Linked DNA regions of Canis lupus familiaris. The protein of the gene in region 5 interacts with the protein of the main gene of each other region in a pairwise test. Links are inferred from orthologs where the notes say so. Each region holds a gene or a part of one and is shown on either strand. Other genes may lie near its edges.

Region 1 (5,960 bases), on a different chromosome or scaffold from region 5:
CTGGTTGTGATGATTAATCAGATAATGGATACAAAGTGGATATAAAACGGATAAATGAGATAATGGATACAAAGTACATAGAATAATTGTGCAGTCCTATTATTTTCCAGGCAGAAATTTTCAGGGTCTCTTTCAAACTCCAGAGCCTTGCTGCTTCAGCTTTCCTTGCAGGGTAACCTCTGACCCTTCTTCCCATTTTTTTCTGCTGTCACTATCCCATACTATTTATCCCTCTTCCCAATGCTCCTGCTCCTCTTCCACATCCTTCTCTACCTCCTCTCTTCTTTCCCCTCTAGCCCACCATTTTCTTCTTCCTTCCCCTCCTCTTCTCTCCCTCCTCCCTTCACAACCTCTAACTCTCGTCCCTGCTTGCTTTGTGCAGGAAATTGTACAAGAAAGGAAAACTGAGCCAAACTGCCCGGATCCTCCTGTACTTCTTCTATCACTATTACCTGAGACATATATTTCTCAGATGTAAAATGCAGATGTTGTTTAAAAAAAAAAAAAGGCAAAAAAAAAAAAAAAACAGTACTTAACTCACAGTTGCTTTGAAAATTAAATAAGATATCTAAGTAAGTACTTACCAAATTGTCCAAATTAAATGTCCCTCAGTAAAGTGTTCAGTGACTCTTACCTATTCATCTTCTTTCTCCTCCTATCTCTTCTTCTTTACCCCTAAGCCCCGGGGTGAAGATGAGAAAAGAAATCTAAATGGTATAGTTTACAGCAAGAGCACCATGACTTTTCAAGAAAGAAGCCCTCTCTAATCTAATGCTGACATCAAAGAATCAGTTATCTTACTCGCCTTCACCACACATTGGTCACATTTCTGACCAATCTAGCTTTTGTGGTCATAGGTGAAGATGCCTGTATGATCCTGCAAAATTAACACTAGATTTTCTGATGAAAAGAAGAATTTGCTTTGCATGACCTTGTTCTCTTTGCAGAAGTAAAAAATTCCTCTGTTCTTACTTAGGAAATATCAAGTATTAGAAAAAGCAAAAATATTTCTTCTTTGTTAAGTTTAACCAAAAGGAGAAGTGCATGCTACCCCATGGAACAGAGCCCTCTTAAAATTCCATTCCGAAATCAGGAAAGAAATCATGTAAAGAAGGTGTAATCAAGGTGTGGTCGATATACCAGAGACCATCTATGTACAGAAATTGAAACTGTTTAGAAACGTTTACATCACTTTGGAATTGTCTGGGTATCTAAGCCCCCAATCAATGTACTTTTCTTCTTCACTGAGTAGAGAGGGCAATTCGGTTGTTGTCAAATCAGTTTTAAGAGGCCCCGAGATGCTTACCCCGTAATGTACAAGGGACCACGTACGAGCCTGCGAAGAACTGGAGGCGGGACAGGGTACGGTAGGATGGGCTGGAGGGGAGACAGGCCCTTCGTCGCAGCTTGAGAAGCACCGATGCACACTGTAGGTCCACAATCTTACGTTGTCGGATCATTTATCAATCTTCAAGAGTTCATTTAAATAAGGCGCAAAAATATGGAAACGCCAAATGTGTGGGATTGTCAGATGGCAAAACTGACACCTTTCCATTTTGCCCGTCCCCTGCCGAACCTGTCCTGCTCAGGCAGCGCCGGAGCTCTCGGCTCTTCCCAGGGTCCTGCCATCTCGAGGCTGAAGATCCCGACCGAAGCCAGAGCCGCGAGCTGCGGACCCGCCCCTCCCTCCCTCCCTCCCTCCCTCCGAGGTCTCCCGCCTGCTCAGTTCTCTCACTTCCTGATAAGCCCAGTTTAAACAACAGGATGGACGTTAGGAGGCGGGGATTAGAAGAGTTTCTTACGTCTGTTTCAAAAGTGCTTCTAGCTCTTGGCAGAAGTGGCCGGTTCGCGAAGGAATCACTTTCCACAATATTGTCTAGGAGGAAAGATGGGAGACGTGAACGCCTGCCTCCGAGAGTTCCCAACATTCTCATTCAGAAGGCAACGAAGGGTTGAAGTGAGGCTGTGGATCTCAACACGCCAGCTTTTGCAGATACCCGAAGGCCAAGCGAGGACTCCGAACCCTAACGTGACTACTTGGTCAAGCGAAGGAAGGCGCGGACCGAGCGAGTAAACTACACTTCCCAGCATGCCAGAGGGGTGGGCCCCGCGGCTGCGCAGACGGATACGCGACGGTCCTGGGATTTCAGCATGGCTGTGTTCGCGGATTTGGACCTGCGAGCGGGTTCCGACCTAAAGGCGCTGCGCGGCCTGGTGGAGAACGCAGCTCACCGTGAGTCTCCCCGGCTGTGCGGGCCGCGGTGCCTGCCCAGCCTCGCTGCCCCCCAGACCATCAGGCCACGTTCAGGAGGGACGCGAAGGCCTGTCTTCGTTCGGGTCCCCTGGGATCTTGGATATGTCCCCGCGAGCTGATGCTGCCGCGGTGCTGCTTAGATCCCGGGCGCGGGAAACTCGAAAGCACTTGGGAGCTGTTACCTAGTTCAGTTCTATTATCGTCTTCTCCCCCTGAAAACTGAAAAAACTGAGGCTCCGACAGGATGGGAGATTTGCATAGAGCCCCACGGCTAGAGGATGCCAGAAGCCAGGGCTTCCAAGTGTGTAAATCTCCTACACCAGTGCTTTTAGTATCACCTCTGTCTGCCTCCCAGTAGTATCAGAGCAGTTTGGGGAATTGGGCGCAGACGGGGAATGCTGTGGAAATTCAAAGAAGGGGCGGAGGGACATGAGGGTGACCTTGTGGGCATAATCTAAGAACGGGAGGTGGGGCGGGGGGAGAGACGTACTAGGCGGGTGGCAGGGGAACAGCAAGGCCGCCATGCTGCAGTGCTACTCATTTGAATCCAAGGGAAGCAAAAGCCCGGAGAGAGAAGACCCTGTTTTAATTATTGGAGCTAATCATAACTGTTGTCTTCTGCAAAGTGTGGGGATAGAGAAGTTTAAAAATCAGGAGGTTTCTGTGGAGCATGGCAAGCAATGGATGCTCAACAACTATTTGAAGGAGGAAGGAAAGAAGGAAATCAGACAAACCGAGGAGAGGGAAAAACCACTCTTCTGGCATTAATATGCATTATCTTTTAATATCAGTACCTTGTCCTTCCCATTGGTGTTTAAATAATTTAGAGATAGGAATCATGATTCAGACATGTTTTTGGTAGTCCTTGTGTCCAGACTAATGCTGTATAGAGTCTGATAAAGCAAGGCCCTGACCTCAGAGTTCCCAATCTACTGATGGTGGGCAGCTGGGAAGGGGAAGTGAGCAGTGGTGTGAGGGAGTAATTACTCCATTTCTCCCTAGAAAAAGTACCTCTGAAGGAAGTAGAAAGGGTAAAAAGCAAAAGAAATGATCAAGTGAAAAAAGGTATCATGCTAACAGTACATCACAGAGGTCAGAGAGCCCTGCCTCTGTGCCAGGTGCAGCTCTAAATCATCCATGCTTATTACCTTATTTATTTCTCATGACAGTTGTGTGAGGTAAGTCTGACACCAGTCCAAACCCACAGCCCCTGCCCCTACAGACCCCTGCTCTCGACCTGAGCTGAGTTGAGCCTATGTGTACAAGAGAGAGGTTGTTATATTTAACAAGAATGTTCCATTTTTCTTTTCAGTGGGCTATTCGGTTGTTGCCATCAATCATGTTGTTGAATTTAAGGAAAAGAAACAGGTAAAAAAAACAATTTCTGACGTTAATAATAACCAAAATTTACAATTGTTTTTATTCGTATTGGTAATATGGAAGCTGCAGATGAGTATATTTCTTAAATACACTTTCTTGTGTACTGTATTATTTTACATGTTAACAGTTGAGCCAATGCAGAGTTTTTTGTGAAGTATTAGGGTGTGGTAGAAGGATTCTTAAAGTTGAATTGATGTTAATTAAATAACTTTCAATAATTTTTAAAAGTATATTGTTACTGAGTTATAGTATTTAGTCCTTTTTATTTTACTGACATGGGCTCATTACTAATTGATTTCCCTCTTAAACATGCTTGTAAATGTGTATTTATCTTCAGGCCAACAACTATACCTTATAGATTATTTCAGTCAAAAAGCTATTTTTCACCCCACATATCCATTGATGTCCTTAGCTGTTTCTCTGCTCTCCAGCTTCTTTTTATTTTTTATTTTTTTAAGATTTTATTTATTCATGACAGACACACACACACACAGAGGCAGAGACACAGGTAGAGGGAGAAGCAGGCTTCATGCAGGGAGCCTGACGTGGGACTCGATCCTGGGTCTCCAGGATCACACCCTGGGCTGAAAGCAGCACTAAACCACTGGGCCACTGGGGCTGTCCAGCTTTCTTCCTTTAAAAAAAAAAAAAAAAGTATTTACTGTTTCTGTATATCAGAAGTTAACTTTCCAAAAACCCCTTGTAAGTTTTCCATTATGCTTCATTCCATTCGCATGTACAATCTAGGGTGACTGTTCATTGTTTACTGTAGGAAATTGAAAAACCGGTAGCTGTTTCTGAACTCTTTACAACTCTGCCAATGGTACAGGTATGTATCTTGTTGTTTAAGGACCATAATAGCTATTCAGAAATGTCCAATTTTATGTAGGATTCTCTTCCCTGCACTCTTCCTCCTCTACCAGTTTTACTTTTCCACAAGACTCAGGTCTTCCATGAAGCTTCCTTTTGCTATCAATTCAGTACTTCTTTGGCGATCTTCTTTCCTGAAGTTCCCATAACCTTTGAGTAATCCTGTTATGTAGTTTGACACATGTATATTTTTATTTTGCCAATTATATTATAAATTCCTTGAGAATGAAGAGTAGTTTTTATTGATTGTCACTACCCTTTACTGCCGGTGCCTTTCAGTGAGCACTTTTCCACTGATAAAGAAGAAAATCGATTGTTTGTATTTTGAGTTTTTTTGATGGAATGCTTTTGATTATAGGGAAAATCAAGACCAATTAAAGTTTTAACTAGACTGACAATTATTGTTTCGGATCCATCTCACTGCAATGTTTTGGTAAGTTAATTTTTCTTTTTGACCTTGTAAGTTGTACTGGTTAATGTTGAACAGGGTTGTAACAGTGTTTTCACCTTATCCCCTTCTTATATTCCCTGCCCCCAGGCATGACACCTGCCTACTCTCCCTCTCTTCGGAATTCATATAGCTTAACAGTCTGTTCTACTATTGACACATTAATATGGATACTACAATTGAAGAGTCCTTTGACAACTATTACTCATTGAACTCACATGAAACCAGGCGTAACGTGGGTCCTGGGGATATTGCTGTGAATAATAGAGATAGAATTGTTGAACTTACAAAGTTCGTTTAATGATAAAACGAGCATTAAACAGATAATTAAAAATGTGAGGAATATTTAAATAGTTGGGGGTAATAAGTAAAGGATGCTCTGGGAGTGTGTAACAAGGGGGCCCACCTGAGGAAGTTGATGTTCCAACCTGGGCCAGAAGAATCAGTAAGTGTTGTATAAGTGCTGAGCAGAAGAGAGAGTGTTCCCACAGACAGAGTGGATTATGCACAGGTCCTGGATCCAAGGAAAACCTGGTGTTTTCTGGGAAACGAAACAACACCGATGGGGCTGAGCCTATTGAGCTGGCTAATCTGGAACAAGGTTGGGGAGGTAGGTCTGGGTGAGCAATTGGAGACCCTTGAAGGTTTTAACTGAAGGAGTGAAATTATGGTGTTTGCATTATAGGAAATGGATCAGAGGGGTTGCGGGGATTTGAGAGGCTTGGTGGGAGGTGGAGGATTGACAGGATTTAATGGGTGATTGGATATAGTCTGATAAATCCCTGGCATGGCTTGATCAGCCTGCTATGTAGATGGTGGTACCATTTCCTGAGACCGGACATAGAAAAAGGAGCAGGCTTGAGGGCATCGTGTTTGGAACGTTATGGGTTATTATGAGAATTCCAGTGGAGTTTGTCAAATGGACAGGTGAGAAAAGGGGTATGGCCCTCAGAAGACTGGTCTAATGAGATACTGATTTGGAAGCGGTCAGTCGCTCTGTAGAGAGTA
Region 2 (6,099 bases), on a different chromosome or scaffold from region 5:
GGAAAAAATTAATCAGTTTCAATGCAATGTATTTTTTACAGCTATCAAATATACCCCATGCACAGCCTGAAATGCCTGGTGTAGAGTATCTTTTTCGCACCATAGAGGCCACCCTACGGAAAGAAGGTAGAGCACTGAGGAGTAAAAAAGAACTAGAAGAGACAGACTTTAAAAACTTAGAACTAGGGTGGCTTAGTTGATTAAGAGTATCTGTTTTGCACCATGGAGGCCACCCTACGGAAAGAAGGCAGAGCACTGAGGAGTAAAAAAGAACTAGAAGAGACAGACTTTAAAAACTTAGAACTAGGGTGGCTTAGTTGATTAAGCAACAGACTCTTGAATTCAGCTAAGGTCCTGGGATGGATGTGGGGCTCCATGCTTGCCTGCCAGTCTGCTTGGGATTTTCCCCACCTTCTTCCCCTCTCCTTCCCCCTCTTCCAAAAATAAATACATAAATCTTTGGGGAAAAAAAAAAAAAACCCAACAACTTAGATCTAGAGTGGTTAGAGCACTGGTCTCACAAAGAACCTTAGAAACCAACTCTCCACTGTTTGCTGTAAATGTTTAATCACTTGCAATTAAAAAGTTTCCATGTGGTTAATATTACGAGCTTTGGAGTCAGATCTGTTTGAATTCCCACTCTAATGCTCATTGGTTATTTGACCTTGGTCAAATTGGTTAACCAATCTAAGTCTGTTTCTTCATCTGTAAACAAACGTATGCTTGACGGGGATGGGAGAACCAAATGGGCCAATGTATGTAAAACCTCTAGAATAGAGACTGGCATAAATAGAAGCAGCTCCTCTCCACCCGGATAGTGGCACAGGGTCTGTCCCAACCAGACAAGGCAACACTGAGATGGGAGAACAAAAAGATAAAGGTGGGTCAGACCACAACACAATTAGGAAATTTCAGGGGAAGTTGCCTAGCCGGGTCATTACATTCTAATGAGGAATAATCTCTTCTGAGTGGTTGTCTGCATCCCTACCATGGAAGACTCACCGTCACCCCGTATTTCAGTGCGAGTCCAGCCAGGGTGTCTCCGGGGGCCAGCTGATGCTCCAGGCGTCTTTCCCTCACCGGGGAGCAGGCTGACTGCACCAGGCTTCCGTAAGAACGAGCCCGGCTCCCCTGTAGCAGTCCTGACCCCCCGAGGGGGGCCTGTCTAGAGGACGAAGCCATCTCCTCACCCCGCCGGCAGCTGGGGTTGCAAGTGAGGGAGGCCTGGCTAAGTGCCGACAGCCACGGGGCTGGGGGCGAGGGACGTCTATCCAGGGGGTTCCTTTCCCCCGTCTCCTCTCACAAACCCCCGTCTGCCCCGGCACTTCGCGCCCCCGCGGCTCTCGTTTGTCCCGCTTCCCAGGCGCCTTCCCACGAATCTGTATCCCGAGGATCCAGTCCCTACCAGAGTCTCTCCTTATTAGCACCCCGCTGACTTTCAACCCTCCCACCACTATGAACTCTGACCTTTGAACCGTAGTTACCCTCCACACTCCGCTCAGCTCGCCCCTCTCCCCCAGGTCAGGCAGCCTCCGCCTCCCAGGTTCCCTTCACACCCCGGCCCCGCCTCGTCCCGGGTTGGTCGGCTTGTGTCAGGAATAAATCCAGCCCCCTCCTGGTGGGCTGTCGGCGGCCAGGGAGGCGCGTGAGGACCGCGAGAGTTTGTACTACACGTTCCACTCAGAGATCTTCCAAGGCCCGCTCCTCAGCAAATCCGTCACGGCCTCAACGTCGGTCTCCACATTTAAGTTCTTGTCTCCCCAGACGCCTCGAATCAGCCAAGATGCAAGGGCCGGGAGCCAGCTGGGTGGCAAGCCCTTTGAAAAAAAGACTTCATTTCCCAAAACGCCCCGCGCCTGCGGGGTCGCCGGGTCGCGTGGGCAGTGCGGTCGGCTCCGCAGGCTGTGGGCGGGCTTTCCGCGAGCGCTGTGCATCTAGGGAAGTAAGGAGGCCAACCGGAAAGAAACCCGACGGGAGAAGACGCCTTACTCTCGCTACGGTGGCCTGAGAGGAGTGGCCGAGGCGGCTCGGGAGAATTGTTCGCTTCTGGAGCTCAGTCGTAATGTCTTTCAAGAGGGAAGGGGATGATTCGAGTCAACTCAATGTGCTCAAAGTAAGCGCGAGAGGGGAGCATCGGGAACAGTTTCACTGCCCCGTGAAGGAGCTGTTTTGTTGCTCTGGCAACAGCTGCGGGGCCGGCGCGACCAGAGCTGGGTAGTGACCCCTTCTTCGCCCAGTGATCTCTGTTCTCATGGTCCTTTTTGCCTTTCAATCTTTGACCCCTCCCTCCTCTCCCACTGGTCCCGTCCGGCTACCCCCTGCAGAAACGGAGAGTCGGGGACCTGCTGGCCAGTTATATCCCAGAGGATGAAGCGCTCATGCTACGGGATGGACGGTGAGGGCGAGGGGTGATCAAGCCCGAGGGTGCTGCGGTTATAGGCTTCGTATAATTTTGTTATCAAGGGGGGAGCGGGAGTATCTAGGATTTTCTGATGGGGGATGAGGGACAGGGATGTGGGTGGTGGAAATTGGGAGACCCTAGAGTTTGGTTTTGGAAAGGGTTGCTAGGTCCAGGTGGAACCAGACCCCACTCACCTGGCACCGAATATCTTCTACCCTCCTCTCCAGCTTCGCTTGTGCTATCTGTCCCCACCGACCTGTACTGGACACCCTGGCCATGCTGACTGCCCACCGTGCAGGCAAGAAACATCTGTCCAGTAAGTGAGGGAAGACAAATCTCTGCAGATCACTCTTGCGGTTTTGTTTTTAATTCTCTTCCCCTCTACCTTCAGGCCTGCAGCTTTTCTATGGCAAGAAGCAGCCAGTAAAGGGAATGGAGCAGAATCCAAGACAGCAGAATGAATTGAGGCAGTCAGAGATCAAGGCTGAGGTAGGTAATCAGGGAGGGGAGGGTGTGTTTTGGGTGGGCCTGCTGCACATCTTAGGCTTGAAGGGCTTCGACTTCTTTCTAGCTCTGAAGACACTGACTGTGTTTCCCATCTCCACACCAGGCTCCTCTGTTAACGCAGACCCGACTTACCACCCAGAGTGCTCTGCACAGAGCTCCTCACTATAACAGTTGCTGCCGCAGGAAGCACAGGTCTGTGGGGTGGGAAAGCCAGAGGTAGGGCGGGTCAGAGGAGATAGATGGCTCTAAGATAAAGGTATTACAAATTGTATTCTCAGGAATATTAATACTCCAGAGATGTTTACTGATATTTCAGAAAAAAAAGAGAATGTTGCTTTTTTTTTTTTTTTTTAAGTTTAGGAAACGGCACTTTGGTTTTTGTTCTAAAGATTTTACTGATTTATTCATGAGAGACAGAGAGAGGCAGAGACATAGGCAGAGGGAGAAGCAGGCTCCCTGTGGAGAGCCCAATGCAGGATTCAATCCCAGGACCCCGGGATCATGACCTGAGCCGAAGGCAGACACTCAACCACTGAGTCACCCAGGTGCCCCAGGAAATGGCACTTTGTGATCCTACTTGAAGAGTAGTAATATTAATATATTCGAAGGGCTCTACAAAGTCTAAAGATTAAAAAAAAAAAACCCTCAAAATGTTATACTAGCCTTTTAAAAATTCATATGATTCCAAAATTCTTTTTTTTATGCAAGACATTTACTAATATCTTGAGGAACACAGTTTAGGAAACACTTCTGTAAGGGATTGGGAGTCATAGGAGAATTGGCCTTTTTCCTTTACTACTTTTATAGACGTTGATTCTTCTCTACCTAGACCAGAAACCCCTCGTCCCTCTGTCTCCCATCCCCCTTTACCACCCCCAGAGGTTGAGCCTGAGAGTGGGAAGATCACTAAGGAACCCATGCCTGGAGCTGGCCCACAGGCCAAGGAGTCAGCAACTGTCTCATCCCCTGTGCCCATGAGCCCCACGAGGAAACGAGCCCTGGATCATTACCTCACCCTTCGAAGGTTTGTATGCAGAATCACTTTCTTCAAGTTTTCTCTTTTCTTTCTGAGTTTTCTTATTTCAATCCTTCTCAATTGTTTTTCTCTTATCCCCATTAACTTCTTAAACCTCTTTTCCTGATTTATTCTATTTTCTGTTATTTGCAGCTCTGGATGGATCCCAGATGGACAAGGTCGATGGGTAAAAGATGAGAATGTTGAGTTTGACTCTGATGAAGAGGAACCTCCTGACCTTTCCTTAGACTGATACCCTCTTTTCCCCCTCAGTTCACAAATAAATTTCAGCAGGCTCCAGGAGTCTAACTTTCTTCAAGTCTACTTCCTTGCCCCATTTCAGGATTTCACTGGTGGATTTTTTTTTTTTTTTTTAAGTAGGCTACACACCCAATGTGGAGCCCAATGTAGAGCTTGAACTCATGACCCTGAGATCAAGACCTGAGCTGAGATCAAGAGTCAAACTCTGATTAACCAACCAAGCCACCCATTTCAGGTGTCCCCCATTTCAGGACAGCCAGGCCCATTCTTCCCTGAAATGTACACAGCTCCCCATACTTCTGACCCCTCCCCCACCTTCAACCAAAGTACTGCCAAGCGTCAGCTGCATGCAGCCCAATGCCCTATTAATAAGTCTGTCAGAAGGAGGTCTTTGCCCTTCATGTTGTCTGCCTTCTTTTTTTTTTTTTTTTTTTTTTTTGTTGTCTGCCTTCTTCCCCACCTTCACTCAAAGTTCTTTCCTCCTTCAGATCACATGAAGTTGTAGTTAGACACCAGGGGCCCTACCCGTATCTGAAAAGAGGGCTGGGGTAGTAGGTACCCTGTGAGAGCAGAAGGGACTAACTGCATTGGCAGGGCCACAGGGAACACCAAGGGAGGGAGCTGCCCCACCTCTGCCTAGTAACTTGAACCTCCCTGCCTGCTGATCCCCAGAGTATAAATAATCCCCTGATGAACTGGCAGTAACCCTTGGGGGTTAGCGCCAAGATTCCCACCCCAAAGCCCGAGGAAAGAGGGAGGCAGGCAGAGTGGACAGAAGGGCCTTTATTTACAGGAAAGGGGAGAGAGAAGGATTTAGGTATTCAGGGCTCCCAGCTCTAGTTGGTAAAGGGAAAAGGTAGCGTTATCTCTTTTTTTGCTGGCGGCCTATAACAGGAAAGAGGAAACACAAGTCTTTGTTTTATCTCTTTGCTTCCTGCAAAGGTACTCATCTTCCCCTTTCCAGTTCCTTGGCCAGACTCAAAGAGGTAATGCCTTAGGCCAGCAAGCATACCCACCCCACATGGCAAGTAAAAATGCCATGCCCACAAACAGGTATGTCTGGCTTCTTTTCCACCTTTCTGCAGGTATAATTTGGGGCAGGAGACTTTTCTACTTTCTCACAGGGTTTAAACTTCTCATGTGAATACTGCTTTGGCAGCCCACAGGCCATTAGTCACTAAGCTTTCAGATTCACTACCTATTTGCCCTTTCCGCCACACAACAAGTTTGTATTTACTCACGTAGTTCATTGTTCCGGGTCATGGCCTGGGCTGCCCGAGCTCGTGGCCCCTGCTGTGTAAAGTGGTAGCCAAAGCGGACAATGGAGGGACACTGTTCGAGAACGGTGGCCATCTCCATCTCCACTGCATCACCAGGCCACTGGCGCTGGGGGAAGGAGAGATGAGACCTGTCAGCCACGCTCTCTGCCTGGTTCATTGTCCCACACCACCAACCCTTTGGGAGGTCAAAGAAGCTTGTTTCATCAGAGTGGGTGATGAGAAGTGCTGACTTGGCTCCCTTCATAGAGACCATGAAGAGGAGAATTCAGACAAAATTAGATGAGATCCTGACCCAAGGGCTGCTCCAGAAAAGAGATTCAGTGAGTATTACCTGAATGCAAAGACCAGAGGAAGGTAATGCTGACCTGGTTGTCTACACGCAGCTCAGTGAGTGTGGCATTTTCCCGAACTGCCTTCAGCACAGCCATGAGCCCTGTGCTGCTAATGAAGTTGGATTCAATGTTCAGGCTCTGGAGGCTACGATTCTCACGCAACATGTCAGCCACCGCCTGGGTAGTAGGGACTTGGGTTAGGATTAGGGGATAGTTTCACAGATGACTGAGGAGAGAAAGAACAGGAGCAAGAGGGAAACACAGCTCTTTGAGAAGAGTCCTTGAGGAGCTGTAGGTGGGGCT
Region 3 (6,082 bases), on a different chromosome or scaffold from region 5:
GACTTCACTCACATCAGCTAGAGTCAGCTAGTCTCTCTCCCTCTCTATGCTATCTCAGAGTCTCTCCACAGGGAGTTAGATTTTTAAAAAAGATTTATTTATTTTAGAGAGAGAGAGAGACAGCAGGAGTGGGAGGGGGAGAGGAAGAAGGAGAGAGAATCTCTTCATGCTGGAGTCCAAGAAGACTCCCCCTCTGAGCACAGAGCTGGAACAAGGCTCCATCCCAGGACCCTGAGATCATAACCTGAGCCGAAACCAAGAGTCAGATGCTTAACCAACTGTGCCACCCAGGTGCCCAGGGGAGTTAGATATTTCATATTGTGCCTCAGGGCTTCAAGAGCAAGTGTGCTCAAAGACCCAGTGGATTCTTCAAGACTTCTTATGAAGTCTTAGAAGTCCTGTATACTGGGGATCCCTGGGTGGCTCAGCAGTTTAGCGCCTGCCTTTGGCCCAGAGCGAGATCCTGGAGTCCCAGGATTGAGTCCCACGTTCGGCTCCCTGCATGGAGCCTGCTTCTTTCTCCTTCTGCCTCTCTCTCTCTCTCTCTCTCTGTCTCTCATGAATAAATAAATAAAATCTAAAAAAAAAAAAAAAGTCCTGTATACATCACACATTCTGCTGGTCAAGCAATTCTCTTGGGCCAGCCTGGATCAAAAGAAGGGACACAGAATCTGCAGACATCTTTAATGTACTGCAGCCTTAGTACATTAAGTAATTTGAACTTTTTGCATGGTGGCTTTGAAAACTATTATTTTTGTCTAATAGTTTTAAGAGGCTAGCTCTTAGAATCGATCACTCTGATGGTTTCCCCCAAGTACAAGGGGGCTCTCTCATTATGTAGGTTTACATTTTCTTATTTCAAGAAAATTTCATTATTTGTCCCATTATTTGGCATTCCAAACAGAGAGAGAAATAAGCACAAAGGTCTGCAGGCAAGGGAAAGGAGGAACATTCCAGGAGTTTGGATGGGATTTGTGTAGGAAGTGACAGAGAGGAAGTGGGGAGATAGACAAAGGATAGATGAATGGATGGTTTTGCGTGCCATGCTGAGCAGTGACATATGCAGGCAGCATATTCTGGGAAGTGTTTTCTGACATGCAGTATAGAATATGGAATGAAAGGAACGAGACCACAGGAGAGGGACAGGATCAAAGCTATTACGTTAGTCTAGGTGAGAGGCTTAGCCATGAGGGACAGATTCTAGAGTTCTTAATGAGGAGAATCAACATGATTGTTGAGTGTGGTGGGGACGGGAAGGGAGGAATCCAGGATGACTCTCAGGTTTCTGAACTGGGCAACTGAGTGGACAGTAATGCAGAACAGTTTTAGACACATAGGGCTTGGGGTGGCTGGAGGACATCTAGGGGAAGAGGTCCAGAAGGTGTTTGTCTGTGGAACTCAGATGAGTGGTCTGAGCCAGTAATGCATTTGAGAGTTGCTGGTATATGTGATGGATGAAGACAGGGAGGGGGTGGAATGGCTTCAGGAGATTGTGTAGGGTGAACCGAACACTGAGAACAGAACTTGGGAGACTCAGGAGTGGTCAGCAGGGTGAGGAGGTGAGTCATGTCATGAAGGCCAAGGGAGTTTCCAAAAGAGTGGAGTGCTTTGTGTTGCCAAGTGCCACCAAGAGCCCAGTGATATGAGGACTCAGATACAGCCTGTGACATTTGGGATTCAGCAAGCCCTTAACGATGGATTGGTGCAGGGATGTGGTGGGGACAGAAGTTACATTGTGTGGGTTGACGAGGGAGAAGCTGCTGAGTTGGCAGAGATGAGTGCAAACTACTTTCAAGACATTTGTGAAGGGAAATAGAGAAAGGGAGCAAGCAGTAACTAGAACACAATGCAGAGGGACCGAGGGGTTTCTTGTTCTGAGGACAGGAAAAGCCTGACTATGGCAGATGGTGATGGAAAAGGTAAGAGGGTTTGATAATTTTGAGAGCTTGAGGTGGGGCGGGGGGCACGATCGAAATATGTCTGAAAGGAGTTTTCTGAGGATGTGGGAGGTAATGAGGTATGTATGATGCTCATAGAAGTGAACTTAATTCCCAGAATGGCTTATTATAGTCCAGCTCTGGTACTGAAATTACCTTGGTTTCAATCAATACGGCAAATATAGCAAACAATATCGACATATTTATTTTACATCATTTACACATCTTTTCTCCAAAGGGTAGGATCAATGTTTTACCCTTTCAAAGCCTCCCACATAGTTGGTGCTCAGTAAGTGGTAAATGAATAAACAAGATGTCTCTTGCCTGTATTCTGAGTATCTCAGCATATTCAGAACACAGTCAAGACCCTGCACACAAGCGAAAAAGCTTGAAAAAGCTTGCATGCTTAGAAGCATCCAAGAGTCCTAAAATCCATGTGTCAAAGTTGATGTCCTTTCCTTGAGGAACCTGTTTACCCTCACTTATTTCCTTCACCCTGGGAGTTTAAAAATAGGAAAATGAGAGGAGGAGGAAGAGGATGTTCTAAAGGCAGTCAGGCAGGCAGACAGCAGCAGGAGGTGGCACGATCTGCCTTACCATAAGGTGCCAAAAAGCAGTGAAAACCCAGGCGCACAGCATCCTGGCTTGGGGGCTCTTTGCTTAGGGACTTAACATCCCGCACTCACAGTGCAATTATCCTTAAAGGACACTGCTGATTTGAGCCGTAAGCAACTGTGAGAAGAACGATCCTCTGAACTATCGAGAAAAAGCTTAGCTGTTCTTATTTCGAATCATCTCCTACATTTCACACACTTTGGAAAGCATTCTGTCAAAAATGAATAATATTAAAACAAAAAAGCTGATGTCGAGATGGTAAATCTGGGTCCGGCTCCGTTCCCTCGCCCAAGCTGTTTACCCAGCCTTGGACGCCCTTTTTTTTTTTTTTTTTTTTTCTCCTCGGACGTGTTTCTTTCTCTTCCTTCCAGTCGGGACACAATTGCCACCTATTCCAGGAACCCCCTCCACTTGGTCCAAGCGGAAGTAATCTCTTCCTCCTCTGCCCTGCCATAGCATCTCCTTGTGGGCTTGGCTTTGCCTGGGTCACCAGCCCCGCCTGTTTACACGGCTGCTTTCGTACGAAATTATGCGCACCTCGAACCAGGGGCCGTGACCGCGACGGCGTACCTGCGCAGCACCTGGCAGCGAGCTAAGCGCGGAGCCGGCGCTCACGAAACGCTCGCTGGGTTGAACTTCATTTGGGAAGATCCCTCAGGGCAAGACCTCTCGCCGGAGGCGCGGATGAATGATTCATGGGGTGGTTCTTTGCATTCTTCACCTTCGAGTCACGGCGCGCACAGTGTCCAGCTGCCCCGGCACATACCTGTGGAATCGAAACGCACCTCCGCCGCCAGCGCGCGGGACCAGCCGGAAGGGGGCGGGTTTCACCCCTCCGCGTCCGCCAGTCGCGGGCCCGCTGGGGGGAGGGGAGGGACGGGGGAGCCGGGTCCCGCTCGGCCGCAGGGGGCGGGGCTCGGAGGGAGCTCGGCCCGCTCGCCCGCCCCCTCCTCTGCGAGGCGGAAGCCCCGCCCCCGGCCGCGCGCTCGCACAGGCGGCGCGCGCCCGCCCCCCGCCCCCCGCCCCGCGCCCCGCGCCCCGCGTCTCCGCGCCCCCGCGTCTCCGCGCCCCCGCGCCCCCGCGCCCCCGCGCCCCCGCGTCTCCGCGCCCCCGCGCCCCGCGCCCCCGCGCCCTCGCGCCCTCGCGCCCTCGCGCCGGGGGCGGGCTTGCTGCGCGTGCCGGGCGGGGAGACGGCGCGAGCCGGGCGCCTGAGAACGTCCGCCGCGGGGGCGGCTCCGGGGCCTGAGCGGGCTCCGCCGCCACCTCGGCCGCCGGGCCCGGGCCGCAGGAGGCGCAGGAGGCTGCGGCCGCCCGAGACCTTCGCGGCGTCCCCAGCTCCGGCCGGGAAGTGAGTGCGGCGGCGGCTCGCGGCGGCCGCGGGCTGCGGGAGGGCGGCGGGGTGGGCTGGAGCCTCGCGCCCGCGAGGAGCGGGAAGGAGCCTCCGGGCGGCGGGGGACGGACGGGGCTCGGGGAGCCGGGGCCGCTGCACCGCGAGCGCAGAGTCCGGGGCCGGCGCGGCTGGGCTCGGAGCCCCGGGCCGGGGAGGGGTCCCCGGGGTCCCGAGCGCACCGTGGCCGCGGGGCGCGGGGCCGGGCTGCGGGCGCCGGGCTGATGCTGCTGCTGGAGGAGGAGGCTGAGTTAGGTGCTGTGAGGGGCGAAGGAGGCAGGTCCTGGCAGAGGGCAGGTGAGGCAGTTAGGCCCTGGCAGAGGGAAGGGACTGTATCTCAGCTCGCCCCCAAGCACTGCTTGCGGAGGCGCCTAACCGTGCTGAACCCGTGCACCGAGGTCACCCTCGAAAAGAAGGTGTCCTGAGAGCAGGCGGGGTGGAGGTAACAGATGCTTGCCGTTGAATTCCTGTGCCAGGCCTTGGGATTAGGAAGACCTTCCAGCGCTCCTGGCCAACGTTTATCGATTAGCTACCTGGGGTAGAGAACCGCGGTCAGCAGCTGGGGCCACGAAATAGTGTAAAACACAGCCGTGATCTGCCGTGTAGGTAGGTGCTGACGATTTGGGAGCGAAGGTGTGTGCATGTGAAATACAAAGTAGCATTGAATTTCGTCTCACACTTTATTCACTTTAGGTCTTTTTTTGGGTCTTTTCCCAGTGTTGGGAAATTGGAGCTATAAATTGCTTGGTTTGGAGATAAAGCAGAAGAGTCAGAGGAGCTTGTGGGGGAAATTTGAGAGACTTCGAAGGCAGTTCTGCCTAACATTTAAAGGGGGGAGAAGGGAAGAAGAAATCTGGAAAGAGAAAAGAAGTTACCTTCCTTCCCTCCTAAAAAAAAAAAAAAAAAAAAAAAAAAAAATTTATTGGAGTTCAGTTCTCCTAAAATTAAGCTCCATGACTATAGCTGCTAAATCCTCAATGACAAGAACAGTGCCTGGCCCACAGCAGTCAGGTAAAAAATATTTATTGCGTGAACCAATGAACCAAGCAAGGCTTTGCTGTGTTTTACACGGAGCAGTATTAAATACTTAGATGTTAAGAATGGCTGATGGGATTCCCGAGATTCTTATTCTTATTCTTATTCTTATTCTTATTCTTATTCTTATTCTTATTCTTATTCTTTTCTTTTCTTTTCTTTTCTTTTCTTTCTTTTTCTCCTCCTTTTTTCTTTTCCCCTTTCTCTCTTCCTCTTCTTTTTTTTTAATATTTTGGTCACATAAGGTAACCCAGGTTTCTAGGTCTGGGTATTTATTTTTTATTTTTATTTATTTTAATTTTAATGTTTATTTCTTTTTATTTTTTTTATTGAAGTTCAGTTTGCCAACATATAGCATAACACCCAGTGCTCATCCCATCAAGTGCCCCCCTCAGTGCCCATCACCTAGTCACCCCATCCCCTCCCACCTCCCCTTCCACTACCCCTTGTTCTTTTCCCAGAGTTAGGTGTCTCTCATGTTCTGTCACCCTCTCTGATATTTCCCACTTGTTTTCTCACCTTTCCCCTTTAATTCCTTTCACTATTTTTTATATTCCCCAAATGAATGAGACCATATAATGTTTGTCCTTCTCCAACTGACTTACTTCACTCAGCATAATATCCTCCAGCTCCATCCACGTTGAAGCAAATGGTGGGTATTTGTCGGTTTTGATGGCTGAGTAATATTCCAGTTATATATTAGGTCTGGGGATTTAAAGCAGTGGCTGAGGAGTGGTGATTTCTTGTGGCCACCCTGCCACTTTCACATCTTTATTCCACGTTGGCCAGCAGGAGCTTAGTCCTTGGGTCATTCCTTCTAGCCATCCAATTCTGGCCCTCCTCTTTTCTGTCACTTGAGGAAGAAGAGCACTTTTGTCTAGGGAACATTTTTTACACTTTTATCCTGGTTTTTGGATCTAAGAGAATGTGTCCCTGCTCTTCTGTGAGGACTGCAGTTCTACTTATTCTCTGCTGCAGTTGGATTTCTGGGCTCTCCAGCTCCCAGCTGCTGTTTCAGTGCCCGGGGTTGCAGTGCCTGTTGGGTTACTTTGTCTGCCAAACTAAAACTTGACCTTTTATGAGTTCTGTGAGGATTTTTATCATGCAT
Region 4 (6,097 bases), on a different chromosome or scaffold from region 5:
CGTTTCCTCCTGGGCACAGAGGAAGGCTGTGATTGCCGGACCCCTTGCAGCCCGGTGGCACCAGTTCTGGTCATTGACTGCGGACCCATGTGATGTGTGCCTCCTCCAGGCCTGGCTCGCAGTGACCTCCCACCCCCACCCGGAGACCCCCAGCTCGCACTATCCCCTCCCTTGTGGCTGGCTGGGAGTCAAGGGGTTGGGGGAGACCTCAGAAGCCCTGAGGGAAGAATCTCTAGATGGGAGAGATTCTGGTGGAATCTCCAGATGGAAGCGGCTGGAGTTCCTGAACATCGGGAGTGTTCCCCGAGGAGTCTTCCCCGAGCCCTCTGACTTAGCCCTGAACCGCAGCCTGAGTGAGAAGTGGGTCTTACGCGTGACCCCAGCAGCACTAGCCTATGCCAATCAACCCAGTATCTGCAGTCCCCCTGCTGATGGGCCTGGGCTTGACACGTGGCTGGGGGCCTCTCACCTGTAACCCCACCCTCTGCACCGACATACTCAGGGAAACCTGCTCAATGACCCTGGCCCCTGGTCTGCTGAGAAAAAAGGGTGCTGCCCCTGGGTACCAGAGCTGCTCTGTGTGACATCACCACAGCCCCATACCGGTGACGGTGACGGGTGACGCGGGCGCTCACAGTCATTATTGTATTTAATCCCCACAGCAGGGCTGCCTAGGAGACTAACTCCCTCTGGGGTTGCCTTTGCCATTTGCTTGCTGAGAGAGGGGTCTGGGCTCAGACCACCTTGCCAGCCAGCAGAGCTCCCCCTCTCAAGCCACCCACCAGCATTGCTCCCTGCAGCCTCCTGTGTAGTGGGAGTTCACTCACCGTGTTTTTGTGGAGGAGGATTTGCAGGAGGATTTGAGTTTTCCCCTAGAGACGCCAGAAAGACAGTCTGTCTCAGCCTAACACTAACGCCCAGCTCCACATTCAGGGCTGTTTCTGTGGTTACCTTTCTTCGGGGATGTTTGGGGTGGGTGGGTGGTGGTAGTGGTGGGTGTGTGTATATATTTGCTTTTTCCAGGGCCCAGATTTTCAGGAGCTACTGGGGCGAGGGGTTCTGGGAAGCACAGTCCCTCATTCCTTCCCTCAGGGAGGTGCCTTCGGAGGGGGACAGAGGAAGTCTACAGGAAACACAGGTTTGTCTCTCCCTGCCACCCAGGCCGCCTGTGTCTGGGACCAGGATGTCAACCAAGGACCCGCAGCCCGTGAGGGAGGGAAGGGCCCCGGAAGAAGCCTGCTCCGCCGCCTGTGCATTTTATAGGTGGGGAAACCAAGGCCGCGGGAGCCTCAGGGACTTGCTGAAATCGCCCAGAATTGGCAAAGGCAAGCAGAACTGGAACTCAGGCGTCCCTCCTCCCGGTCCTCCGCTCCTTCCCCGAAAGAGGCAGGCGCGGTTGGTAGGGCGTGTCTGCGCAGGGGACTGGCGGTGAGGGTGCCAGAGGGCGCTGGGAGACAGCCTGGGGCGACTCCGGCCTCTTCCCTTTCTGGGCCACCCGGGCCGCACTTCCTGCAGAGGCCGGGGAGGGGGGGCGCGGAGCTGGCCCCTCCCGGTGCCGCCTCCCCGCCTCTCCCACGCCCGCAGGCCAGAGGCCAAGGGTTAGGGAGGCGGCACCGGTGCTCGGCTCCGCTCCGGCCCCGAGATCCGCCCGGGACCGGGACCGGGCTGGGGCCCGGGCGGGGCGGAGGGTGCAGCGGGGAGCAGGCTCGGAAGCCCGCACCCCGGGGCCGGGAGGGGCGTGGCCAGGGCCGGGGGCGCGACCCACGCAGGCAGGTGGGCGGGGCCGAGCCCGGGGGCGGGGCCTGGCGGGGCGGGGCCTGGCGGGGGCGGGGCCGCAGGGAACTCGAGCGCCGGCCCCGCCGCACGCCCCGCCCCCGGCCCCCGCCTCCGGGTCCCGCCTTCGAGTCCCTTCCTTCCCGGCGCTGGCAGGCGGGCCGCGGCGGCTGCAGGCGGCGGACGGGCGGGCCGGCGGACGGGCGGGCGCCTCCACCTCGCTCGCTCCCTCGCCGCCGGCTTCCTTTTGTCTTTCTGGGAGGCGATGAGCGCAGGGCCGGCGCGGAGGCTGCGGGCGCTCGGAGGCCCGCGCTCCTAGCCACCCCTCCCGGCCTCGGCGCGCTCGTCCCGGGCAGCGGCCCGCGCCCGCCCCAGCGCCAGCCGCGCCGAACTTGGGCTCGGGAAGCCGGCGGACCGCGTCCTGCGCCGGAGCAGGTAGGGCTGCGGGGAGTGCGGGCGTGTGCACCGGCGTGAGCTGCGACCCGGCTCTCTGCGTGTGCGCGCGCGCGTGTGTTGGGGTGCCTCTGTCTGCGTCGTGGAGTTGTGGATGACCGCGGACGGTGCTGTGTCCCCGGAATGGCGTGTCCTAGTGGGGATCCGTGTGTACAGTGGGTGTGCACATTTTGGGCTGCGTTTGTGGAATTGTGTGTCGGGGCGCAGTTGCTGGTGTGAGCGGCTGCGCGTGGGGCGCGGGTGGCGGGGTGGGCGTGGGCGGGCCAGCCCTGCCTGCGGAGCCCTCTGGCCCCCGCCGGCCGGCGCAGTGCGGAGCTTCAGGCCACCCCCCCCTCCCCGGATCCCGGGGAGCTAGCGCGGGCCTCTGGGCAGCCTGGGTTCGCCCCGCCGGGGGGCAGGTCCCGCAGCCCACGTGGGTGGCAGGTGCGCTCCCGCCAGGGTAGGGGGCGGCGGCCATCCTCTCCCTGCTCACTAGGCCCAGGGGCGACGGCCGAGCCCTGCTCCGCAGTTAGGAGCCCTGGCCTCGCCGTGACCCGCACTGCGACCTGAGCCAGGCACGCCACCTTCTCTGGTTGAGGTTTGCTTCTCTCCCTCGGGGTCTCTCATGACATTTAAAACGAGAACGCGCTAAAGATAGCGCTTGGCCCAGCGCTTGGCACACAGTAGGTGCGTAAGTTAATTGCATTAGTGTCAAAGAGTGTCTCTTTTTTAATCCTTTTTTCCCCTCTTTATCGTGGGTGGTGCTATTACAGCCCCCTCCCGCGAATGTTGTGTGCCTCCCTCACGGCCCTAACTTAACCGCGAAGCACCGAGATTCGAGAAAGTTTGGGCTGCCGGGTGCGCCGCCAGCTCTGCGCACCTCCCGGGCGGCGCCGCCTCGGGTCTGCAGGAGCGCGCAGCGCCCAGCCGCGAAGGCTCCGGCGCCCGAGCTGGGGGTCCCTCTCCTGGCCAACTGCGGCGGCGGCTGCTGGAATCGGGAGCCTTTTTGTTCAACAAGTGCCTAGTCCCTGGGGCTTGCAGCTCGCGGAGTCTGGCGGCAAGGGCGTGAAAGTGGCGCTCCCCGCAGAGACGGACCTTGGGCTCCCAGGGCATCCCGGCCGCCCGGTCAAGCAGAAGGCATCCCCTCCGCTCCCGGCCAACGCCGATTCCCCCTGGAGGGGGGTGTTTGCCAGAACCGCCAGTCCTGCATTGGGGCCTGGCGCTGGACACCCTCTGACCCTACCCCCACCCATCCAACTGCGGCTCTGTTGGATCAGCCTCGCGCAGAGGAGGCCAAGGGCCAGTGGGATCCTTCCTCCTAGTCAGTCCTACACCTTAATTTTTAAAATATTTAGTTTGAAGCCTACGGCCGTGTAACATTGAACTGCAGTGAATGTGCGCACCCTCTAAGCACGATTCACTCTCAGGGAGAGTCCTGCCAACCGCAGCATATCGCTTGCTCAGACCCAGCGGGGCCAGCTGGCCCTGGCTGCCCTGCTGCCTTCTGCCAAAGCTGGTGATTCCTTCCCTCCCTCGCTGTGGTTTTTTTCTTCCTCTCAGGACCCTTCCCAGTCGGAAACACAAATAACCTTTCACCAAGAGAGCTGTGGACCTCATGGTGCGTGCTGCTCTCAAAATGGAGCATCTGCATGGGATGGGGCTGGGGGCATGGAGATCATCAACTGGGCTGTGCGGAGGCGTGGGATGCATTTCCTGGGATCACCTGCTCCCGGTGGGTGTGCTCAGGGAGCTGGAATCCTTTGCAGGCTTTGATGACACAGGAGCAGAAACCTCTTGCTTGGTCTGTCTTTACCAGCACCTTCTGCTGAGGCCTCAGTGGTAATGGCAGGCCAGGGGATCAGGGGACCTGGATAAGCCAAATTTTCATCCGATTTGGTGTCAGGGCACACTTAGAATGCAAGCTGCTTTTTCTGTTTCATAAGATGATTTTATATCCAAGAGGAGAAAAGGGCTTTTCATCTGAATCCTACTCTCTTTCCCATAATCAGATTGAATAATATTGAAAAAAAAATCAGGCTGGCTTCGTCAGCTCAGAAGACAGATCAAAAGCTGGGGTATTTGTTGTTGTCGTTGTTGTTTTGTATTTTCCTGCTTAAAACCAGCCCTTTGTCTCAAGCAAAGCAGTGTTTTGGCCCTAGATCTATTTCTGTTTCACTTTTGAGAGCGCCTGTAATTACTGAGCTCTTGAGGTTTTATTGGATAATGTGCCAGAGGGAAGGCCCAGGGGCTCTGGCTCTCACTTGCCGTGGGATGTGGTGCGTTGTAGCCTTGCCTGCTCCCTTTGGGTTCCACTTTGATGCTTTTCATAAGGTGGAAAATAGATGTGAATGTGTGATAATAACTTGGGACACCTGGCATTGGGAATCAGATGCCTGGAAGCTCAGACTTGTGGAGACACAACAGGTCAAAACCCCAGAAGAACAGAGATTTGCCCAAACCCTAGCCAGTGATCCATTCATTTCCAATAAGCCTTCTAGAGGGAAACTCTGAGATATAAAGGAGCTTGGACTAATTCCTTCAGAATTTATCTTAATGCCCCTTTCTGGCCACTGGGTTGTGCAGAATTAGAAATACAAGCTGTTGAGTGACAGGAGTGGACTCACCTCTGCATACAGTCCCCATCCAGGCCTCCTCCTTACCGAGCTCTGTCTCTACCTGGAGCTGCTCTGGAGTTTCATCATGGTAAAGCAGTAGTGCTGTCTTTCTGGGCTCAGACCCACTGCCTTTGGGGCTCCACATGCATGGTTCCTAGGGTTGCCTTTTCGCAGAAAATACCCTATTGTGTATTTGTGTGTGAGGCAGTCTGTCTCCCCCTTATGCCTACCGTCCTTCCTTATACTTCTTCTAAGACCTAGTATTGCCACTCATAAGTGGTGAAGTGCCCAGGTCACTTAGGAACCAGTGTTAATCCCTGATACTACCAAGGAGCCCCAGAGTTTATTTGGCACCGGAGAGTAAGCTATTTGGCAGCTGAAATTTTATCTAGATCAGGATCAGGTTTGTGTTAGAATTTAGCATTCCAGCAAGCCTGAAACCAAGCTTGTTTGTTATGGGATAATGCTTCTAATTTGTGAGTCGCTGGCCCAGGCCTGATGGGGGATTATGTGTATTTTGCTAGTTTGTCAGCCCTGGATGTCATTGTATGTGGAGGGAGGGCACTTGTAAACTTTAATCATGCTCTGTCTACTTTGGGATTCACTATCCTCCCACAGTCTCAGTGGGTTTCTTTGGTGTTTTCATGCCCATGTGTAGGGCTGTGCATCTGTGCATCTCACGTGGCTTTTGTTCTCTTCCTTTGGGGTTGAGTTTCTAATCAGGGGACAACAGGTCGTGGTGTATGGAGATAGATGGCTTAGGGGCCATCTTGGTGATTCTTGCTCCATGGGGAAAAATGTTTCTTTCAAATCACTTGGTACCAAACAACAACAACAAAGAATGGAATCTGGTGACATGGGTTTTAATGTAACTTCTGGTAATCGATACAGTTTGACAGGTGAACAATTTCTTAGGCACTGATGAGCAAGGTGCAAGTCTAAAGAATTTTTTTTTTTTTCCATCATCAGGAAAGCACAGTAAATCCTTTAGGAGAGCCCTGCCTTGGCCATGTCCTTTCAAGTATAATTGAATTTCAGAGGCAAAGCTTCATATCTCTGCATTTATGAGGTATGACTAACTGAAGACACTTTCCGAGAGATCTCAGGCTCTCTTCCTGTGGCAGCCCTCCCCTGCCAGCAGCAGGTGGGCAAAGATGCCTTCTTGGGGCTCTTTTCATTTACCTTTATAAGCCAAGCGCACCCCCGACACCTGCTAATCCAGCAGCTGTGTTTTCCGGATATTTGTTGCTTTTCAGCTCTTGAGGTGCAGTTCAGGT
Region 5 (6,006 bases):
TCTAGTTTCCTAAAAGCAATACTACTGTATCTCAATCAATATTTAAACTACATTTTCTCTATCTTTTTCATTTAAAAGTTCCACGATCTTTGCTTACTGCAGTAATTCCTAATACTATAGTTTAATTTGTCAGGGTGATCGTATCACATTTTCTTTTATACTTTAATAATATGGAAGACAGTGAACACTTTCTGTCCAATCAATTAATTAATACTTGCTTGAGGCAGTCTACATGTCCCTAACCTTCAATTAATAATAACATAGACATTATCGTGTCTTGCCTTTTCAATTACTGCAGAAATTCTGTAGTCTTTCAAAGGATAACTCACTGATTTTAGGGTCTTAGATTTTTTTCCCCCAATGTTTACATAAGGTTAAAACATGTATTTTTTCCCTTACTGTAATATTTAGTTTAAAACACATTTTTTCAGGGATCCCTGGGTGGCTCAGCGGTTTAGCGTCTGCCTTCGGCCCAGGGCATGCGTGATCCTGGAGATCCGGGATTGAGTCCCACACTGGGTTCCTTGCAAGGAGCCTGCTTGTCCCTCTGTCTGTGTCTCTGCTTCTGCTTCTTTTTTTTTTTTTTTAATTATTTATTTATTTATGATAGTCACAAAGAGAGAGAGAGAGAGAGAGGCAGAGACACAGGCAGAGGGAGAAGCAGGCTCCATGCACCGGGAGCCCGACGTGGGATTCGATCCCGGGTCTCCCGGATCCCGCCCTGGGCCAAAGGCAGGCGCCAAACCGATGCGCCACCCAGGGATCCCTCTGCTTCTGCTTCTGTCTCTCTGCCTCTCATGAATTAAAACAAACAAAGAACCCCACATTTTTCTAATAAATAATAATGGCTTTTTCAAAGAACTAGAATTAAGACAATTGCAAATTCAGAGGATAGAATAGGTAACAAATCCCAAAGGAAAAAACAAAACGAAACATGGGCCTTATGCTTTTAAAAATCCTTTAAAGACCTTACAGTTTACTTGATATTCTAAAATCACTACAAAAAAAATTAAAATAAAATCACTACAGTTGAGATTTCATAGGCTCCAAACGGATGGATTCCATTAGTACAAACACACACACCTGTGATACTTGAAAGGAGAAGACAAGAAAAATTGAGTGTTTATTACCACTTTACACATTGCTTCTTATAATAAAACACTGACAACACAGGAAAAAAAAAAAAAAAAGTCCTGTCTTACCCATCTTCTGTCCTCCGTGAGCCAAATGCCCTGCTTGCTTAAAACCTGAGTACCATGATCTCCGCAGCATGGTTTGCAAACAGAAAGGGCAGATACCAGGTTTTCATCGGGGCTGAAATTACTTAAATTACAAAGGTGGAGGGGGCGGGGGAATGTATCGACCTACAGCTGTCCCAGGAGCTCCGTGACAGGGACAGGTAAGAATTTTCAGGCCTGAGGAAGTAAGTGGTTTTCAGCTACAAGGCGAAAGCTGCCGCCTAAAATCAACAGGTGTAGGAGCCGAAGAGCACTCGGTATGGGTTAAGGGGACACCAAAGGCTTCACCCCTGCCAGGTGAAGATGCCTCCCCGCTCTGAGCCAACGCGAGAGTCCTGGGGGCAGGCGTGGGGCCGGCGGTCGAAGAGGCTGGGACACTTGCCTCGGGCCGGGACACCTGCTTCCGGCTGGGGCCAGGACACCTGCCTTGGGCTGGGACACCTGGCTTGGGCCGGGACACCTGGCTTGGGCCGGGACACCTGCCTCTGGCTGGGACACCTGTTTGGGCCAGGACACCTGGCTCAGGCTGGGACATCTGCTTCAGGCTCGGGCTGGGACACCTGGCCCCAGCCGAGGCACCTGGCTCCAGCTGGCTCAGGCTGGGACACTTGCCTTGGGCTTGGGCCGGGACACCTGCTTCGGGCTGGGACACCTGCTTCGGGCTCGGGCCAGGACACCTGCCTCTGGCTGGGACTCCTGCTTGGGCCAGGACACCTGGCTCAGGCCGGGACACCTGCTTGGGCCAGGACACCTGGCTCAGGCCGGGACACCTGTTTGGGCCAGGACACCTGGCTCAGGCTGGGACACCTGCTTCAGGCTCGGGCTGGGACACCTGGCCCCAGCCGAGGGACCTGGCTCCAGCTGGCTCAGGCTGGGACACTTGCCTCGGGCTTGGGCCGGGACACCTGCTTCGGGCTGGGGCCAGGACACTTGCCTCGGGCTGGGACACCTAGCTTGGGCCGGGACACCTGCTTCGGGCTCGGGCCAGGACACCTGCCTCCGGCTGGGACACCTGCTTGGGCCAGGACACCTGGCTCAGGCCGGGACACCTGCTTCAGGCTCGGGCTGGGACACCTGGCCCCAGCCGAGGCACCTGGCTCCGGCTGGGACACTTGCCTCGGGCTTGGGCCGGGACACCTGCTTCGGGCTGGGGCCAGGACACCTGGCTCAGGCTGGGGCACCTGCTTCAGGCTCGGGCTGGGACACCTGGCTCTGGCCGAGACACCTGCTTCGGGCTCGGGCCGGGACACCTGCCTCCGGCTGGGACACCTGGCTCGGGCCGGGGGCACGGAGGGCGCGCGGACGTGCCGGAGCCGAGGGGGTCTAACAGCGCCCTGCGAACACCTGGGGGAGGAGCTGTTCCCTCCTAACGCGGGGAGACAGAGCTCCCGGATCCGGGCGGGAGGCGGCGGGCGGCGGGCGGCGGGCGACGAGCCACGAGCCACGAGCCACGAGCCACCGCCGACCCTCCCGCGGCGCACACGCCCCCAACCTCAGGACGCCGCGCCCGCCGCGCCGCGCGCACCACGCCCCCGCCCCCACCGGAAGCGGCTCCGGCCGCCCCTCCCCCACCGGAAGTGGGGCGCCCCCGTTCGGGCGGCCTCAAGCCGAGCCGAACCGGCCACAACGGCCAAAGGAGACGGCGTTGGGGGGGCGCGGGGCCGCTCGGCCGTGGCCACCCCGCAGCCCGCCCTGCTTACCGGCCTGCTGGCGGCAGGGGCAGGCGGGGACGGGGCCCGCAGAGGCCCCCGCACGGAGGACAGTCCCCTGAGCCCCTCTCGGTCGCCTGCACTCCGCTCGCTGCGGCGTCTCGCGGCGGGGGAAATTCCTCCGCAGCACTTTCTTTCGCTATCTTTCCTTTCCCTTCGCCCGGCCGCTGAGCCACCTCCCCCGACGCAGCCTTCCTTGTCGCGATGGCGTTTAGAATTGCTCCGGCGAGGAGGAAAAGGGACTATTACCCCCCGTACCTTGAGAAAAACGAAGGGATTATTTTGTTCCAATGCGGCGAGGGACTACGTGATGACGCAAGGTGAGGCCGGCTTTCGCGGAGCTTCCTGGGAGATGTAGTTTTTGACGTCGCTAAGGCCTGCAGAAAGGACTCGGTAATTACGGGATGCTGGGGGCCCTTGGAAACACGTGTTTTGCACTCGACGGCAGGCTGGCCAGGGGGCTTCGGCACCGAAAGGGCGAACGACCTGCCGCCCTTTCCGTCTGGGACGGAGCGGAACCCGAATTTCCCTTGGCTTTAGCCCAAGGGCCCGGTCGTCCCGCCCTCTTCCCTCGGCCACGCCCCCGCCGGTCAGTCTGGAGCCCTCATAGGCTGATGGTCCGGAGGTGGGCGGGGCCCCGCGGTGGCCCCTCCCCCGGGCCCGGGGCGAGCCCGGGGAGACGGCCGAGCGGGGGCTCGTGCGCGTGCGCGTGCTCGCTCCGCGGGGAGCCGCGGCGGGTGCGCGCGGAGGGGCGGCGCGCGGGCCGGGAGGAGGCGGGCGCGCGGGCTGGTGGGCCGGGCGGGCGGCGGGCGGCGGGCGGCGGGAGCGCGCGGCAGGCTCGGCAGGCTCGGCGGCGGCCAGTAGTTAGTTACTTGTTAGTGTCAGTTGCTCGGCGGCGGCGGCCGCGGTCACCGGGCGGGGGACGGGCCGGCCGGCGATGGTGGTCGCCCCAGCGGCACGCGCGCCTTCCAGGTAACGGGGCCAGGGCTGCCCGCGTCCCCTCGGTCCCCTCCCCGGCGCCGGCCGGCCCGGGGGGCGAGCGCTGCCCCGGCGGAGCCCGGGCGGGGCGCGCGGGGTCGTGGGGCGGCGCCACGGGGGCGCAGGCGGCCGGTGCGTCCTGCCCGGTGCGGGCTGTGCGGCCGCCCCGAGCCCCGCCGCCCCCTGCAGCCCCCCCGACCCCCCTGCACTCCTCCCCGGGGCCCCGCCGCTCCCCTGCAACGCCCCCCCCCCCGCTGCCCTCCCCGCCGTCCTTCCCCCGTCCCCCTCTGCACCCCCCGCCGCCGTCCCGAGCCCCGTCCCCCCCTGCAGCCCTCCCCGCCGCCCCCTGCACCCTCCTCGCCTCTCCCCTGCACCTTCCCGCCGCCCCCCTGCACCCTCCCCGCCGCCCCCCTGCACCCCTCCCCGCCGCCCCCCTGCACCCCCTGCACCCTCCCCGCCGGCCCCCCGCCCCCCTCCCCGCCGTCCCGAGCCCCGCCGCCCCCCCCCTCCGCCGCCCGGAGCCCCGCCCCGGAGCTCCCCCCGCCCCCCGGCGAGGACGGCCGCCCCGGTCGCCCGGCGCCCCCCAGAGGAGGGAAAGTTGGAGCTGGCGCAGGGGCGCCCCCGGGCGCGGCGGGGCTGCCGCTGGGGAAAGTGCAGCTGCGGGGGCTGGACGCGGGCGCTGCTGCGTGTCGGCGGCCCCGCTCGGCCCCGGAGGCTCCCCCGCCCGCCCGCTCTCCTGCGGGCCGCGGCGGCTGGTCTCGTCCCTCGGTCGCCCGCGGGCTCCTGGGTCGGGGCTACTTTGCGACCCGCGGGCGGGAGGGCGGGCAGCCCCCTCCCCCCTCCCTCCCCTCCCCTCCCCTCCCCCCCCCCCCCCCCCCCCCCCCCGCCCCGGCCGGCCGAGGGCACGACTTCGGTGTCGGCCCCAGCGCTGCCCCGGACGCGCGTGGAGGCGCGGAGCCGGCCTCGTGGTGGCGGCCTCGCCCCTGGAGCCCGGCACGCCCGGCCCGCTCGCGGATCGGGGACTTCCACCCGGGCCGCCGACCTGGGCGCCTGCTGCGGGCCGCGCCCGCCCTCCCCCTCCCCCGCGGGGACCCCGACGCGCCCCCCGGCTCCGGCTCCGGCCCCCGGCGTCCGCGGACACTCGCGCGGCGCCCCGCCCCCCCCCCAGCCCCCCTCGGCGCCCGCGGCGGGCGCTCCCGGCAGGTGGGGCCGCCCCCGGCCCAGGCCCCCGCCCGGGGACTCCGGCGAGCGGGAGCAGGGTGCCTGCCATTGCCGGGGAGCTGGGCCATGACCAATTCACCAAGTATGCGAAAAACAAACCTCTTTCCGTAGCTGTCAGAAGGGGAAATATTTTATCATGTCTTTATTTTGGAGACTGTAGCTTGATTATATTACATGGGGGGGAAAAGCCTCAAGCCCTTTTCCTTGAGGCTGGTGATGTGTGGTCCTTTCCATCCCCTCTCTGCCATTTAGGAGCTGGTATTTCTGTTTGGCTGGGTCCCAGTAGGGGAAGAAAATATTTGGGCGAAAGGACAAGAGAAGATTGCTTCGAGCTGTTATGATGAGTATTCACTTTACCCAGTGATAGTGCAGAGAAAAACTTCCTTGCTGATGTTTGGGCCCCATTAACATTCTGTCAGAATCCATTTTTAAGAGTCTACCCTGAGGCCCATAAAGAAGTAATGCCACTTTATAGCTGTTTCTGACAATCACATTAAAAAATGTGTTCCTGGAATGCATTATATGTGTACTCATATAAACATTTATCTTTGTACATTTATGGTAATGTAAATATTTAAGTCGGAGAGCTTAAAAACTTTTATTTGCTTATTTGCATACATGTTTTTCAACATCTAGCAGTGCCAACCTTATTTGCCAAATAAGCATCAGCCATAAATTCATGCTTTGGCACATTTCATATAATAACTCTTCTAAATTGCTCCATGGTGAAGCATCATGAGATTAGCATTTGCTTCATGAGAGAGATTTGTTGTTGTTTTTAACTGTAATGATGTGCTGTTTAAGTGGAACAGGTGCTGGGCTCTAGCTGTTTGTGTTTAAACCTGCCAAATCACACTCTT

The links.
Region 1: the proteins of HMG20A (region 5) and RPP30 interact in binary tests that used the Homo sapiens proteins (3 or more experiments, as listed by UniProt). The two-hybrid records come from large-scale screens. The link is inferred for Canis lupus familiaris from reciprocal best matches to the Homo sapiens genes HMG20A and RPP30.
Region 2: the proteins of HMG20A (region 5) and SCNM1 interact in binary tests that used the Homo sapiens proteins (3 or more experiments, as listed by UniProt). The two-hybrid records come from large-scale screens. The link is inferred for Canis lupus familiaris from reciprocal best matches to the Homo sapiens genes HMG20A and SCNM1.
Region 3: the proteins of HMG20A (region 5) and DTNB interact in binary tests that used the Homo sapiens proteins (3 or more experiments, as listed by UniProt). The two-hybrid records come from large-scale screens. The link is inferred for Canis lupus familiaris from reciprocal best matches to the Homo sapiens genes HMG20A and DTNB.
Region 4: the proteins of HMG20A (region 5) and HPCAL1 interact in binary tests that used the Homo sapiens proteins (3 or more experiments, as listed by UniProt). The two-hybrid records come from large-scale screens. The link is inferred for Canis lupus familiaris from reciprocal best matches to the Homo sapiens genes HMG20A and HPCAL1.

Annotation. Positions count from the first base shown.
Region 1 is NC_049249.1:5,715,434-5,721,393, forward strand, and holds the start of RPP30 (ribonuclease P protein subunit p30), read left to right. Parts: upstream 1-1,779; 5' UTR 1,780-2,151; coding exon 2,152-2,233; intron 2,234-3,566; coding exon 3,567-3,622; intron 3,623-4,406; coding exon 4,407-4,463; intron 4,464-4,862; coding exon 4,863-4,937; intron 4,938-5,960. UniProt on the Homo sapiens protein: Component of ribonuclease P, a ribonucleoprotein complex that generates mature tRNA molecules by cleaving their 5'-ends. Also a component of the MRP ribonuclease complex, which cleaves pre-rRNA sequences.
Region 2 is NC_049238.1:60,887,033-60,893,131, forward strand, and holds SCNM1 (sodium channel modifier 1), read left to right. Parts: upstream 1-1,918; 5' UTR 1,919-2,062; coding exon 2,063-2,113; intron 2,114-2,324; coding exon 2,325-2,395; intron 2,396-2,628; coding exon 2,629-2,717; intron 2,718-2,792; coding exon 2,793-2,890; intron 2,891-3,011; coding exon 3,012-3,100; intron 3,101-3,737; coding exon 3,738-3,932; coding exon of another isoform or gene 3,933-4,076; coding exon 4,077-4,176; 3' UTR 4,177-4,237; downstream 4,238-6,099. Other genes in the region: LYSMD1 (lysM and putative peptidoglycan-binding domain-containing protein 1), read right to left, coding at 1,003-1,182; TMOD4 (tropomodulin-4), read right to left, coding at 3,915-4,078, 5,426-5,570, 5,830-5,973. UniProt on the Homo sapiens protein: As a component of the minor spliceosome, involved in the splicing of U12-type introns in pre-mRNAs. Plays a role in the regulation of primary cilia length and Hedgehog signaling.
Region 3 is NC_049238.1:19,926,291-19,932,372, reverse strand, and holds the start of DTNB (dystrobrevin beta), read left to right. Parts: upstream 1-1,901; 5' UTR 1,902-1,919; intron 1,920-3,122; exon of another isoform or gene 3,123-3,452; intron 3,453-3,783; exon of another isoform or gene 3,784-3,900; intron 3,901-4,465; exon of another isoform or gene 4,466-4,545; intron 4,546-6,082.
Region 4 is NC_049238.1:7,250,879-7,256,975, forward strand, and holds the start of HPCAL1 (hippocalcin-like protein 1), read left to right. Parts: upstream 1-1,916; 5' UTR 1,917-2,208; intron 2,209-6,097. UniProt on the Homo sapiens protein: May be involved in the calcium-dependent regulation of rhodopsin phosphorylation.
Region 5 is NC_049251.1:39,351,886-39,357,891, forward strand, and holds the start of HMG20A (high mobility group protein 20A), read right to left. Parts: upstream 3,480-6,006; 5' UTR 3,268-3,479; coding exon of another isoform or gene 2,429-3,267; intron 1,400-2,428; coding exon of another isoform or gene 1,338-1,399; intron 1-1,337. Other genes in the region: synaptojanin-1-like, read left to right, coding at 1,338-1,399, 2,429-3,267, 5,399-5,487. UniProt on the Homo sapiens protein: Plays a role in neuronal differentiation as chromatin-associated protein. Acts as inhibitor of HMG20B. Overcomes the repressive effects of the neuronal silencer REST and induces the activation of neuronal-specific genes.